Drosophila melanogaster: one gene and its partners. The protein of the gene in region 3 interacts with the protein of the main gene of each other region in a pairwise test. Each region holds a gene or a part of one and is shown on either strand. Other genes may lie near its edges. The genes, in order: CG31549, Lipt1 and CG1894.

Region 1 (3,754 bases), about 23 Mb from region 3:
GGAAAAAGAGGAGGCTGAGAGAAAGCATTGGGAGAAACTTGATCGATTACAAAGGGAGAGACAGGAAATGAAACACCTAAATAAAAAGCGGCCGAAAAAGGTTAAAGTCGACGGGCAAAATGCCATTGGGAAACAAGACGAAGAGGAGCTTTTTACCAGACGTTGCCCAGAAAGCCCGAACCAGGAGAAGATGTATAGGGATTTAAGAATGCAAGAGATTACCCTGAGTGAAAAAACGGAGCTGAAGCTGCAATGCGAGGCAAGAAAGGTGGCGAAGCGGCTTCAGCGGCACCTGTTAGGTCGACTTGGAATGCACGGAGAAGGAGAGGTTCATTTGGGCCAGAAAAATTATCCACAGAAAGTGGCAAGCGAGAGAAAAGCAAATAGCCAGACGGAGAATTGGTCTGTGAAGAATCTCTCCGGAGACATGATGAAAGTGGGGCTAACTGGCAAGGATGTGTCGAACGTTCGACGAAGTTTTCAGCAACTAGATCGATATGAGAATGCCAAAGTCCGCTTGAAAAAGCTCCATGAAAGGAATAGCAGGATTTTTGAAGAGGTGCAGAAGTTTCAGGTGCTCGATAAACTGCGCTTGGAAGCAGGAGAACTGGAAGCTCAAAAATCTTTGAACAAGCGTTTCGAGCTAAGATCTTCAAAGGCGCGCCCGTCACAGAAAAATGCAGAGAGACCAATCAGTTCCAGTCAAGAGTACTTTCAGCCAGGATCCCTGCATACTCGCAGCGAGCGATGGGATCGCTTTATTGGGAGTGACGAGGAATCCGGAATGGAGGATCCTCAAAATCGGGGTCGCAACAGCGCCATCCTCTCTAGCAGCGAAAGCGACCCGGTTCCGGAACCCCGTTACACCCTTGAAGGCAAGTACTGTCCGTTCAAGAAAACATACGCGGTGGAGCCCCAAAATGCTCAACACATCCCACATGAAGAATCAGAGCAGGGAGAAGATTGTCGGAAGACACCACCACCAAGTTCACACTCTACTGAGGAGGCAGAATCGGACGAGGAACGAGCACGAGGTGGCGGTGGCAATCCAAGTGGCATTGGCATGACTTACTGCACACGAACAGGAAAGAAGCGTTTTTCGCAGATCAAACAATGCGAGATTGACCACGATTCTGGCGGGCTAAATGAGGATCGGGTGTTTTTCGGACACCTTCTCACGCAGGCTCGGACATTCGATTGCAGTCCGGATATATTGCGCGCGGAGAACCGTCTTCTGAAGAAAAAACTGGCTAGAGCTAAAAACAAATATCTGCAGTTGTCAGTTCTGCGAATGTCCAAGTATCTCATGAGTGTGTTCGAGAATAACGAAGCTATCGAGAGTTCCGAGGAAGAGAATGAATCTCTGGAAAATGTAGAGCTCGAGCAGATCTATCTGCAAGAGACCGATAGCACTATGCTATTTCCCAGGCCAATCTTTAAGACTCTGATGTTAACTGTGGTTACATCCAACGAGTCCATTTCTCCTGACCTCGCGTACAAAATTACCAATTTGGAAGATGAGCTGAAGGCTCACCTCAAGAAGATTTCTAGACGCGCTTTTGCACAACGAGGTGCAGGAGCTCTGAGGCGGAGAGCCAAGTACTTGATGGACCAGCAGCGTCAACTACAAAGTCGCCAACTGTCCGAGGTATGTCGCAATTCCGAGGAGCAGACTTTAAGGCTGTGGGATCGACTGACCAGCAGCAGTGACTCCTTGCGAGGGATCAGGGATCTCTTTCGCGATCATTGCGACCTGCGAGACCCATTGTTGTGCGCCGCACTCCAAAGCATCGAGCGTCTCTACAGGGAGTGGAAGGATCAGCGGTTTAGCGTGAATTGGAAACAAAATTGATTTAATTTTCCTTTTTTTTTAATGGCTTCATTTTTCGTTCCTTTTGAAATTCGATCTTACCAGCTATTTTAATTACATTAAGGGCTAGCCTAATTAAATTGTGTACATACATAGTTATTTGCGTGGGGTAGAGTGGAAAAGGTTTGGTTGATTGAACACAGCACTCCAAAATTCAAAAACTATTTTCCACCGACACATTTTGAAAATTCCAACCGCTAGAGAGAGAGCTTTTCGATAAGCTTTTCCGCCACAGCTGATGTGGAAAAGCTATCACTTGCCAGCTGGAACTGCGCTTCTTCTTAGATGTCTGTCTATCGTTTCCAGTGATCGAACTTCGCTTAGCGTAAAAGAAACACCCCACGATGTCATCCTTCAAGGACAAAGTGATTATTGTTACCGGCGCCAGCTCCGGCATCGGAGCAAGTGCCGCCGTCCATTTGGCGAAACTCGGAGGGCTCCTGGTCATCGTGGGTCGCAACGAGGAGAAGCTGAAGGAGACGGCCGACAACATTGTGGCGGCCGGAGGAGCAACGCCATTGGAACTGCAGGCGGACATGACCAAGGAGGCGGAGGTGCAGCAGATTGTGGGCGCCACTCTGGCCAAGCACGGTCGCATCGATGTGCTCGTTAACAATGCGGGCATCCTGGAGACAGGCTCCATCGAAGCCACCAGCCTGGAGCAATTCGATCGTCTGATGAACACCAATGTGCGTTCCCTGTACCAACTAACCATGCTGGCCACTCCAGAGCTAGTCAAGACCAAGGGCAATATCGTAAACGTATCCAGTGTCTGTGGACTGCGTGCCTTTCCTGGTGTCCTGGCCTACAATGTGTCTAAGGCAGCGGTGGACCAGTTCACGGCCTGCATAGCCCTGGAACTGGCCCCCAAAGGAGTCCGCGTAAACGCCGTGAATCCCGGCGTGATTGTGACTGACATTCACAAGCGTGGCGGCATGGACGAGGAGACCTATGCCAAGTTCCTCGAACACTGCAAGATAACCCACGCCTTGGGCCGTCCTGGCGATGTCAAGGAGGTGGCTGCCGCCATTGCCTTCCTGGCCAGCGATCAGGCCAGCTTCACCACGGGAATCAGTCTGCCCGTCGATGGAGGTCGTCACGCCATGTGCCCGCGATAGGATGCGGATGAGCAAATGGTGGCATTTATCGAATTTAGCGTCATTTTCAGTAGTTAATTTAAAGAACACGACTAAAATACAACACAATACATTAAAAGTGCGCAGTTAAGATTTCTTGGATTTTTCCTCTCATAATAAACTAATATATTGATAAAATATCTATAATCTATTATTATCTTCTTCTGGGATCCCAAATAGCTGATTATATTGTCAAAAACTCTCACAACCTCTCTGTCTAAAGAGGTGACCACTTAAAATTAAAAACTGATCATACATACATTCAACTATTTATTAATATACATACATACATACATATGTATATGCATAGTAGTTGGATAAAATAACAAATTAACAGTTAATTAAATTTAATTGAATTTCACAACCACTGGAAATGTGTAGCTTGGAAGGTTCCAGCCTATCGATAGCGTAATCGGATTGCAGCCCGGGAATTGTTGACTTCTGGGTCGGGTCTTCAATGTCACCAATCACTATCAGTTAAACCGTCGAGTGGATCACTTCAACATGCCCAGTTTCAAGGATAAAGTTATAATCGTGACCGGAGCCAGTTCGGGAATTGGAGCGGGTACTTCGGTGCTCTTGGCTAAACTGGGAGGCCTGCTCACCATCGTGGGCAGGAATTTGGATAAGCTCAACGAGACCGCGGAGCAGATAGTGGCAGCTGGAGGAGCGCCAGCACTCCAGGTGGCGGCGGACATAAACAGCGAGTCCGACGTCCAGGGCATCGTCTCCGCCACATTGGCCAAGC
Region 2 (3,754 bases), on a different chromosome or scaffold from region 3:
ACAAATCTTACCGCTTCCACTTCCACGCTTAGTTTCAGTTTCATGTCCTGCTCATCGCCCTTCACCTCCAGTTCCTTCTGCACGGTGAACTTGGGAGTCTTGCCGATGACCCAGTCCCAAGAGCTGTAGTTGGAGCGCAATTCCTCAATGCCGGGGAACCATTTCTCTGTGGGATTGACCAGCTGAAAGCCGCGCTGCTGCATCGTCTGTGTGCTGCCGCCGTCTTCAAGCGTAGTTGCAGCCGTTCTCAAATACTCGTAACCCACGGCGGAACGCAGCTGAGCAACGTTCACCGTGCGATTGACATCAACCAGGTTGCGAATGGGCGACGGCACCGAAGCCGTGGCCTTGCTAATATAATTGGCCGGCTCCCGCACCAGAGATTCGCCCAAGTGCAATTTGTTGGCGCTGGCCAAAATGGTGCAGTGATGGTACGAGTTCGGGTGTCCCAGCTTGGCCGCAGTGCCGGAAATCTGTAATTGAACAAGGGCATACTCGTTGAGTGGGCAAATAAAGACCAGATGCACAGCCCCAGCTGTTGGTTAAGTGAGCTGATGCCAATGTGAGGGATCAGCCGGGGTCGCATCATTCCTTGATAAGAGCCACCGCTCCTCCTCACCTTCTTATTCATCACTACAATGTCGTCGCGCTCATTTATCTCTGCCTTGATGGCCCATTCGCGGAACAAGGCCCTGGTCACGATGTTCAGGTTGTACTTGCGATCGTAGCGCTCTCTGGGCGAGAAAAAGGTGCAGTTGAGGTTCCCAAGATCATGGTACACCGCTCCACCGCCACTATTGCGGCGTGCAAGTGTTATGCCGCGTTCCACCAGCTGCGAAACATTAGCCTCGGTGAAGGGATTCTGGTGGCGACCAATGACTACGCACGGGTCGTTGGCCCACAGCAGCAGCACATGGTGGCGGCTGAAATCAAAGTTTTTGTACAGCCAATCCTCTAGAGCGAGGTTGGTGAACACATCGCTGGACTGCGAGATGAACACGGACTTCTTGATCTCCGAATCGGGAACCACGGGCGGTGGCTGGCGCCTCTGCTTTTTAATCTCCTGCTGTCCAGCAGATGGTGGCTCCACTCCGCTGGATGCCAGGCGCGTGGCCTGAGCGGCGGAGGAGAGAAGTAGCCGCAGCTGGCTGGAATTGCGTCGCAACAGCATGCTCATGGCTTACACAAGGAAGTGGGGCGTACGGGTGTGTGTGATTTCTGTTGCCAGGTGATCTGGGACACAATGCACTTGCAAGCGAAACAAGGTCAATGGTGTCGAAAAAAGCTTTTGGCTGGTTGATTGGTTGGTTGGTTGGTTGGTTTCTACGGTTGTCGTCTGCCTGGTTCTGTGTGGTCCGTGTGTGCTCTTCTTTAGGTTATGTATGGTCTACTATCTACGCTATTCGTTTTGGTCTTTAAATGGCTTTGGTCGCTCTGGACTTTAGACTGTGGCGTTCTTAGTGGCTCGGGATGTGTTTGCAGCCACGGAGCTGGCCGAGATGAGGTATTCGTGCAGGGCGGGCGTCTGATGCAGCCACTTCCACGTTTGATGCAGACCACAGACACGCTTACGGAGACCCAGGCAGTCCTTGTTGGCACAGTTCACTGGCATACTACGCCTCACACCCATCCAGGTGGGGGATACAACGAATCCGGTGTTTACGGGGGGCCGCAACGTTACGGGGCCCAAATAAGATGGCTAAAGGGTTTCCTTTTTAGCTGACACCAAAATTTTCCACTCTTTGTTCGCGGCGCACGGGAACTGCGGGGGGCGGGGGCAAGGCGGATGATCGCAGTGGGCGGGGGTAGCAGTTATAGCACAAACAAACGAACGAACACAGAGCCGATCGAAAAGCAGCTGCGCGTGTGGAAATATCACGACCGATTGGCTTTCGTTTCAGATGAGCAGTGGTGCTCGCTGCTCTTGTTCTTCCTCGACGGTCCCCAAATGCCATTCGCAGCGAACGACGAAAGCTCCGGTCATTAAAAAAAAAAAAAAACAACGGCACTCTGGCGCCGCACTTAATTTATTTTCATCTTTTTAATTCGAACTTGTATAATTTACGCTAAACATGTGTGATAATCCGAGACGTCTACAACAGATGTGACATTAATATGTGTTATATTTTATAAGCAGCATACTTTGAGAGCCCCTTCAGTTTGGAATACCCCCATTATTAATGTAAGCCGCCTCTTCGGGATCAATTGGCTTGCGGGCAAATCGTGCCGGCAGCTCGTAGTCCTCAATTGCTGGTCCACCGGCCAACTAAATGTAGAAGGGACAATTACGAAGATTAGTTATGATGCACAGAAGAAGCCGTGGTATTGTGTATAAATGAAATGGGCTGGGTTAACCTTTTTGCCTCCTGCGGCCTGGGAACTTGCCTTCTGGTTTGCTGTCTGGGCGCCCGGCACTCCTGCACCACCCTTGCGGAAGTGTATGAGCGGTACGCGCTTAGCCAGCGCAACTAGTGTTGGTCGAACCATAGCAACAGCAATTGAATTTCTACCAAAAAGCCAAGGCAAAAGTAAAAGTTACGTGAATAACAGCTGACTGTAAACTCATACAAGCGCTGCCAGATCGTTAAAATTGCATGCCATTCGCCGCGCAATGGATTATTATCGTTATTGAAATTTACGTGATCCTGTGAATGGCTAAGGCAGATAAGAGGAAGCGCAAAAAACTATTTTGGTCCAAATCGGTAATATTTTTATATTTAAAATGAATTGGGGACAGAAGATAACCGGCAGCCGACGGCCCTAACTTCTGGACGGACATCGCCAGTATATGGATTGCTCCTAAAACTAGCAAACCAACGTACTTATGCTCTATGCAACAATAAATGTCATATGAAAACAAACTATTGAAGACGTTTTTATGAGTATAACCGGTAACTATTTCATTTGTTTATTATATTAATGACAAATAAACTTATACGTAAACATTCCTTTGATAGATTTTCATGTGTATATCCTTCTCTGTGCAGAAAAACGAAATTAAAGTAACATCTCGGATACTTTCGCAGCAATTGTATAAGCCATACAAATATGAACGCTGCTGGAGGAGGTAGTGGTGCCCAGGCGGCCGCAGTGGCGGCAGGCAACAACAGTCTCAGCCACAATGCGCTACTTTCCACGGCCTCAGGAGCCACCACCATGCCTATGGCCCAACTGGCAGACGGTTGGTTGGAGCTGGAGTCCGACCCAGGTCTCTTCACACTGCTTCTCAAGGATTTTGGATGTAATCTATTTGAATATGCCTTGTTCCACACATCCTATTAAAATATGTACTATCCTTAGGTCACGATGTACAGGTGGAGGAGGTGTACGACCTACAGAAACCCATCGAGAGTCCATATGGCTTCATATTTCTCTTCCGCTGGATCGAAGAGCGACGCGCCAGACGCAAAATTGTGGAGACAACTGCTGAGATATTCGTCAAGGATGAGGAGGCCATTTCCAGCATTTTCTTCGCCCAGCAGGTAGTCCCCAATAGCTGTGCCACACACGCGTTGCTTTCGGTGCTCCTGAACTGCAACGAGAACAATCTTCAGCTGGGCGACACCCTGAGTCGACTAAAAACCCACACCAAAGGCATGAGTCCGGAGAACAAGGGGCTGGCTATTGGCAACACTCCGGAGCTGGCCTGTGCCCATAACTCACACGCAATGCCGCAGGCTCGGCGCCGTCTAGAAAGGACGGGAGCGGGCGTCTCAAGTTGCCGCTTCACGGGTGAGGCGTTTCACTTCGTTAG
Region 3 (3,754 bases):
AAAGTTGCGCAATCAAACTTCGCAGCCACTTCAATGGGCTTGAGGAATCAGTTCCATGGGATGTCATCGATTTTTCATTAATACCTGGATTTTACCTAATTTCCGCAGGCCTTGAATTTTGATTATCTCGCTAATGTGATTTTTATTTTAGACTGTCTAAGGTACACCGCAAAAAATAAAATAAGATAAGGACATTCTTGTAGATGAGTGCAATCAGTTTACTAGTGTAAATTGTTGGCATACAAAGTGGCATACATATATCATGAAAATGTTCTACTTTCGTCCTGTGGGTGTCTTCCAGGAGAGGCGATTCCTGTGAATGGTCAACCTCGGCTTTTTAAACTGTGCGAGCCCACGGCGATCTTCAATTATCGATGAAGTAGTGTAGAACATGATGTGGTCAACCTTGTAGTACTTCGTCATCCCCATAAATTCTAAAGTGCTTATTATGTCCTCCTCGCGGAAGCCAGTCGCTTTGCTCAGCTCTTCGATGGTCACCAGGTCCGGTGATGAGTGGTGCCTCAGCAGATTGAGGAGGATGTGGCCCCAATAGCTGAGGTAACAAAGTCTGGCAACTTTCGACAGCGGCTTCTTGGGACCTCCGATGCATGCCTCCCTGCGAGAGATCTCGTAGCTCAGATCAATCAACAACTTTCCGTATCCCTTGCGCATATAGGGCGGTAAAACAAGGATGCAATTCAGGTTGATATTCAGCATAGTCTTCTCCCTGGCGAAGTAACCTGCAAAGTGCTCGCCATCCTTGTCCTTCAAACACAGGATATAAAACAAGAACGAACTCGAGCTGTAAAGAATTTTCTTGTTTTCCAGAAAGAGCTTTGACATTAGGCAGAGGCACTGGCAATACAGCTGCTCCTTATGGCCATCGACCTCGTAGATATAAATATTGTCTTTTCGGTATAACAAGCTGCCCGGCGGACACCTCTTCTTGCAATCGTATAGGTGGTAGGAGTAACTTTTCCGCAAGCACATGTATTTTAGGCAGAATTCACAAACGTAAATGGTGGTCGCCTTGTCGTTTATTACAGGATAGGGACTGGAAGACGTGGTCTCGATCTCGTAACGCCCAAATTGCACCTTTTCGATGTTTCTTATGACTTTCACTTTCGCGTCCTCTTTCTCTTTCTGGACATCACTTTTTTCATTATCTATTGTCTCCTGGCGCTGGCGATCATCCACATTGCTACTGGCATTAGTGTGTAATAAAGAAATCATATTAGGTTCCTTGACGCCTTCCAATTGCTTCTTCGGTGTAGCCCCTATTCTTTGAGCTTCGATGCACGATCCAGTAATGGTTTTAGTTTCCTGAATGTTTTTTTGAAGAGATGAATCGTTCTGAAGCTGGGATTTCCCCATTTCGGACTTAGAAGCACTTTGGCCTAAACCGCGAGTCGCGGAGGATTCCTTGGCATTAGTCTGAAGAGTGGCAAAAAAAAAATAAATTATCAGCAGTTTTTCATTCCTCATATGATATTCTTTGACCAGTATTGTTCTTACCAATTGCAGGGCTCTCGGAATGTCCGGCAATTTCGAACTTATCCCGTCCTGATCGCCCAACGGCTGATACTTTAAATGGTCACCTGATCTGTTTTCCTTGTCCATTTGTCAATTCCTATTGCGAATTTCACCCTTTTTAGAAAGCGTGGTTTTTCACTAGTGATGACACATTTAGCTTGATATCGATTAGTGATATCAATAATGAAACGATAAAGTTTGTTGTCAAAAAATCGAATCATCTAAGGAAGCACCAATATCAAAGCATTAAAGTTATTTTTAAATTTTAATTCCAATTTAACTTTCTGAACATATATTGAGCAAAAATATATATTATACAATAAGTTGTATACATTTTTTTCAGTGAGAAAACATTTCGGGATATAATCTCAGTCCTACGCCACACCCTGCTACCTTGATCTATCGAAGACGCCAGTGCAGGGACAACCCGGCTCAATACTAATTAAAATAAATGAACATTTACGTCGTCACAGCAGGTGGATGTGAGGGCGAGAGGCCAGGAGACCGGGCGAAAGATTAGGTGACGAGCCCGGGCCAACGGGAGACATCATTAAAATGCATGGTTCAAACGGTGCGTATACTTAATATAGATTGGATTGAGAGTGTGTGGATGGCGGGATGGGGGGGGGGGGGGGGTTCTAGCAGGATGGAAAGCTCCTGGATGAGTTGGCTCCTTTTGCTACAGCATTCGCTTGCGGTGGCTGTAATCTTTATGCGCCATGTTTTTATTTGTATTTATTATTGCGTTTGCGGAGAGCAGAGTAGCGAAGAGCACACTTTGTTTGCAGGTGAAATATTCCACGCATCCAGCGAAATGAGAATTTATTGACTTCACTCTGCATATGTGCGTGTGTCTGTGTGTGTGTGCCTTTTCTATAAGAGTCTCTGTTTGCGTACACGTAAAAATATTATAGCGATTTGATATATAGCTTTGTGCTGCAAAATATCTATGCGCTGCAGAAATATAAAAATGTCATGTCTCTACTAGAGAATATTACACAAAAATGATTAAAATTATATACATACTTCGAATCTCATTAAAATCAAACACTTTTTATTGCTGTGCTGCTTCGTTTCCGCTTGAAACGTGCCCCCACTGCATATTTATCTACGTCACACAAGTTTGATAAACACAACCATGGCTTCGAGACAACTCGAACGTCTGTTTGCATTTGTGCTTAATAACTTTTAAATGATGCGGGGAATGCCTTTGAAAACGAAGTCAACTGAAAGGAGGTTCCTGGGCCCCGGAGTCATACTCCCTAATTAGAGCCGTAGAGTCGTAGGTGTGTGCAGAACTATTCAAACAGGCCAAAGAAGTCGAGCTAACTTGAAGCTTAAATATTTTTAATAAAAATTCTTTTGTTATTTCGATATGTTTAAAGCACAGCACAGCTTCTTGTTAATGTATATATACATATACAATATTCTAATCCCAGCTTAATTTCACGCCTCCAAGCTTTTTGGTTCCTTGTTATTACTCGATACCATCAGTCTTATAAAAATATTAAGGCCAATGTTTGGGCTGGTAGCTCTGGATCGATACCTATTAGCCCTTGACCTGTACGGTGAAGATAAGCGCTGGGCTCCCAATGGGCTTTGCGAAACGGTTTCCATGGGGCCACGTAGTGTTGGGTGGGTTTGGACGGGCTTTTGTTTAGCCAGCTGAACATTTGGAAAATGGTTACAAACAGTTTTGAATGCCCATAATTGATGCAGGAGGAGCATGCCCAGAGCCCGGCAATCGCACTTCAATATGCATGCCAGTGTGCACTGAATACCCAGTTCCAAGTTACCATCCGGTTGGAATCAAACCAAGTGTGGTCAGGCGTCTCTGCTGGGCTGCCGGATGCAAAGCCGGAATAGTGGTCGGTCGGGTTGCGTTAATTAATAAACTGGGCCTACTTTAAGACGACGCCTGCGTTGGCCAATTGCCATGGCATCCATGCAGTCGGGCAACTAGGCAACTAGGCAGTCGAGCCGTAACCGCAACAACTTCAATGCAGTTTTGTCTGCCACAAAGCCGAATTTCAGTAACTGGCAGAGATTGCATCCTTTGCGGATACTTAACGAGTCGACGCCTGAGGAACGGTCCAATCCCAAACTGATGCCCTCAAAGCCGTATAATTGGCCAGCGATGCGCCATCATCGCCGGCATGGACTCGATCGATTCCTTTGAGCATTAGCCAAATGCCGCATTTTTGAAGTAATAAAGCACAGG

The links.
Region 1: the proteins of CG1894 (region 3) and CG31549 interact in a two-hybrid assay, tested with the Drosophila melanogaster proteins (one large-scale study listed by BioGRID).
Region 2: the proteins of CG1894 (region 3) and Lipt1 interact in a two-hybrid assay, tested with the Drosophila melanogaster proteins (one large-scale study listed by BioGRID).

Annotation. Positions count from the first base shown.
Region 1 is NT_033777.3:5,630,182-5,633,935, forward strand, and holds CG31549 (uncharacterized protein), read left to right. Parts: upstream 1-2,010; 5' UTR 2,011-2,214; coding exon 2,215-2,988; 3' UTR 2,989-3,140; downstream 3,141-3,754. Other genes in the region: CG31551 (uncharacterized protein), read left to right, coding at 1-1,852; CG12171 (uncharacterized protein), read left to right, coding at 3,511-3,754.
Region 2 is NT_033778.4:16,195,204-16,198,957, reverse strand, and holds the start of Lipt1 (lipoyltransferase 1), read right to left. Parts: upstream 1,917-3,754; 5' UTR 1,631-1,916; coding exon of another isoform or gene 1,442-1,630; 5' UTR 1,178-1,441; coding exon 620-1,177; intron 474-619; coding exon 12-473; intron 1-11. Other genes in the region: CG42837 (uncharacterized protein), read right to left, coding at 1,442-1,630; CG44242 (uncharacterized protein), read right to left, coding at 2,156-2,266, 2,356-2,487; caly (calypso), read left to right, coding at 3,049-3,241, 3,301-3,754.
Region 3 is NT_033777.3:28,482,518-28,486,271, reverse strand, and holds CG1894 (uncharacterized protein), read right to left. Parts: upstream 1,716-3,754; 5' UTR 1,621-1,715; coding exon 1,516-1,620; intron 1,435-1,515; coding exon 274-1,434; 3' UTR 210-273; downstream 1-209.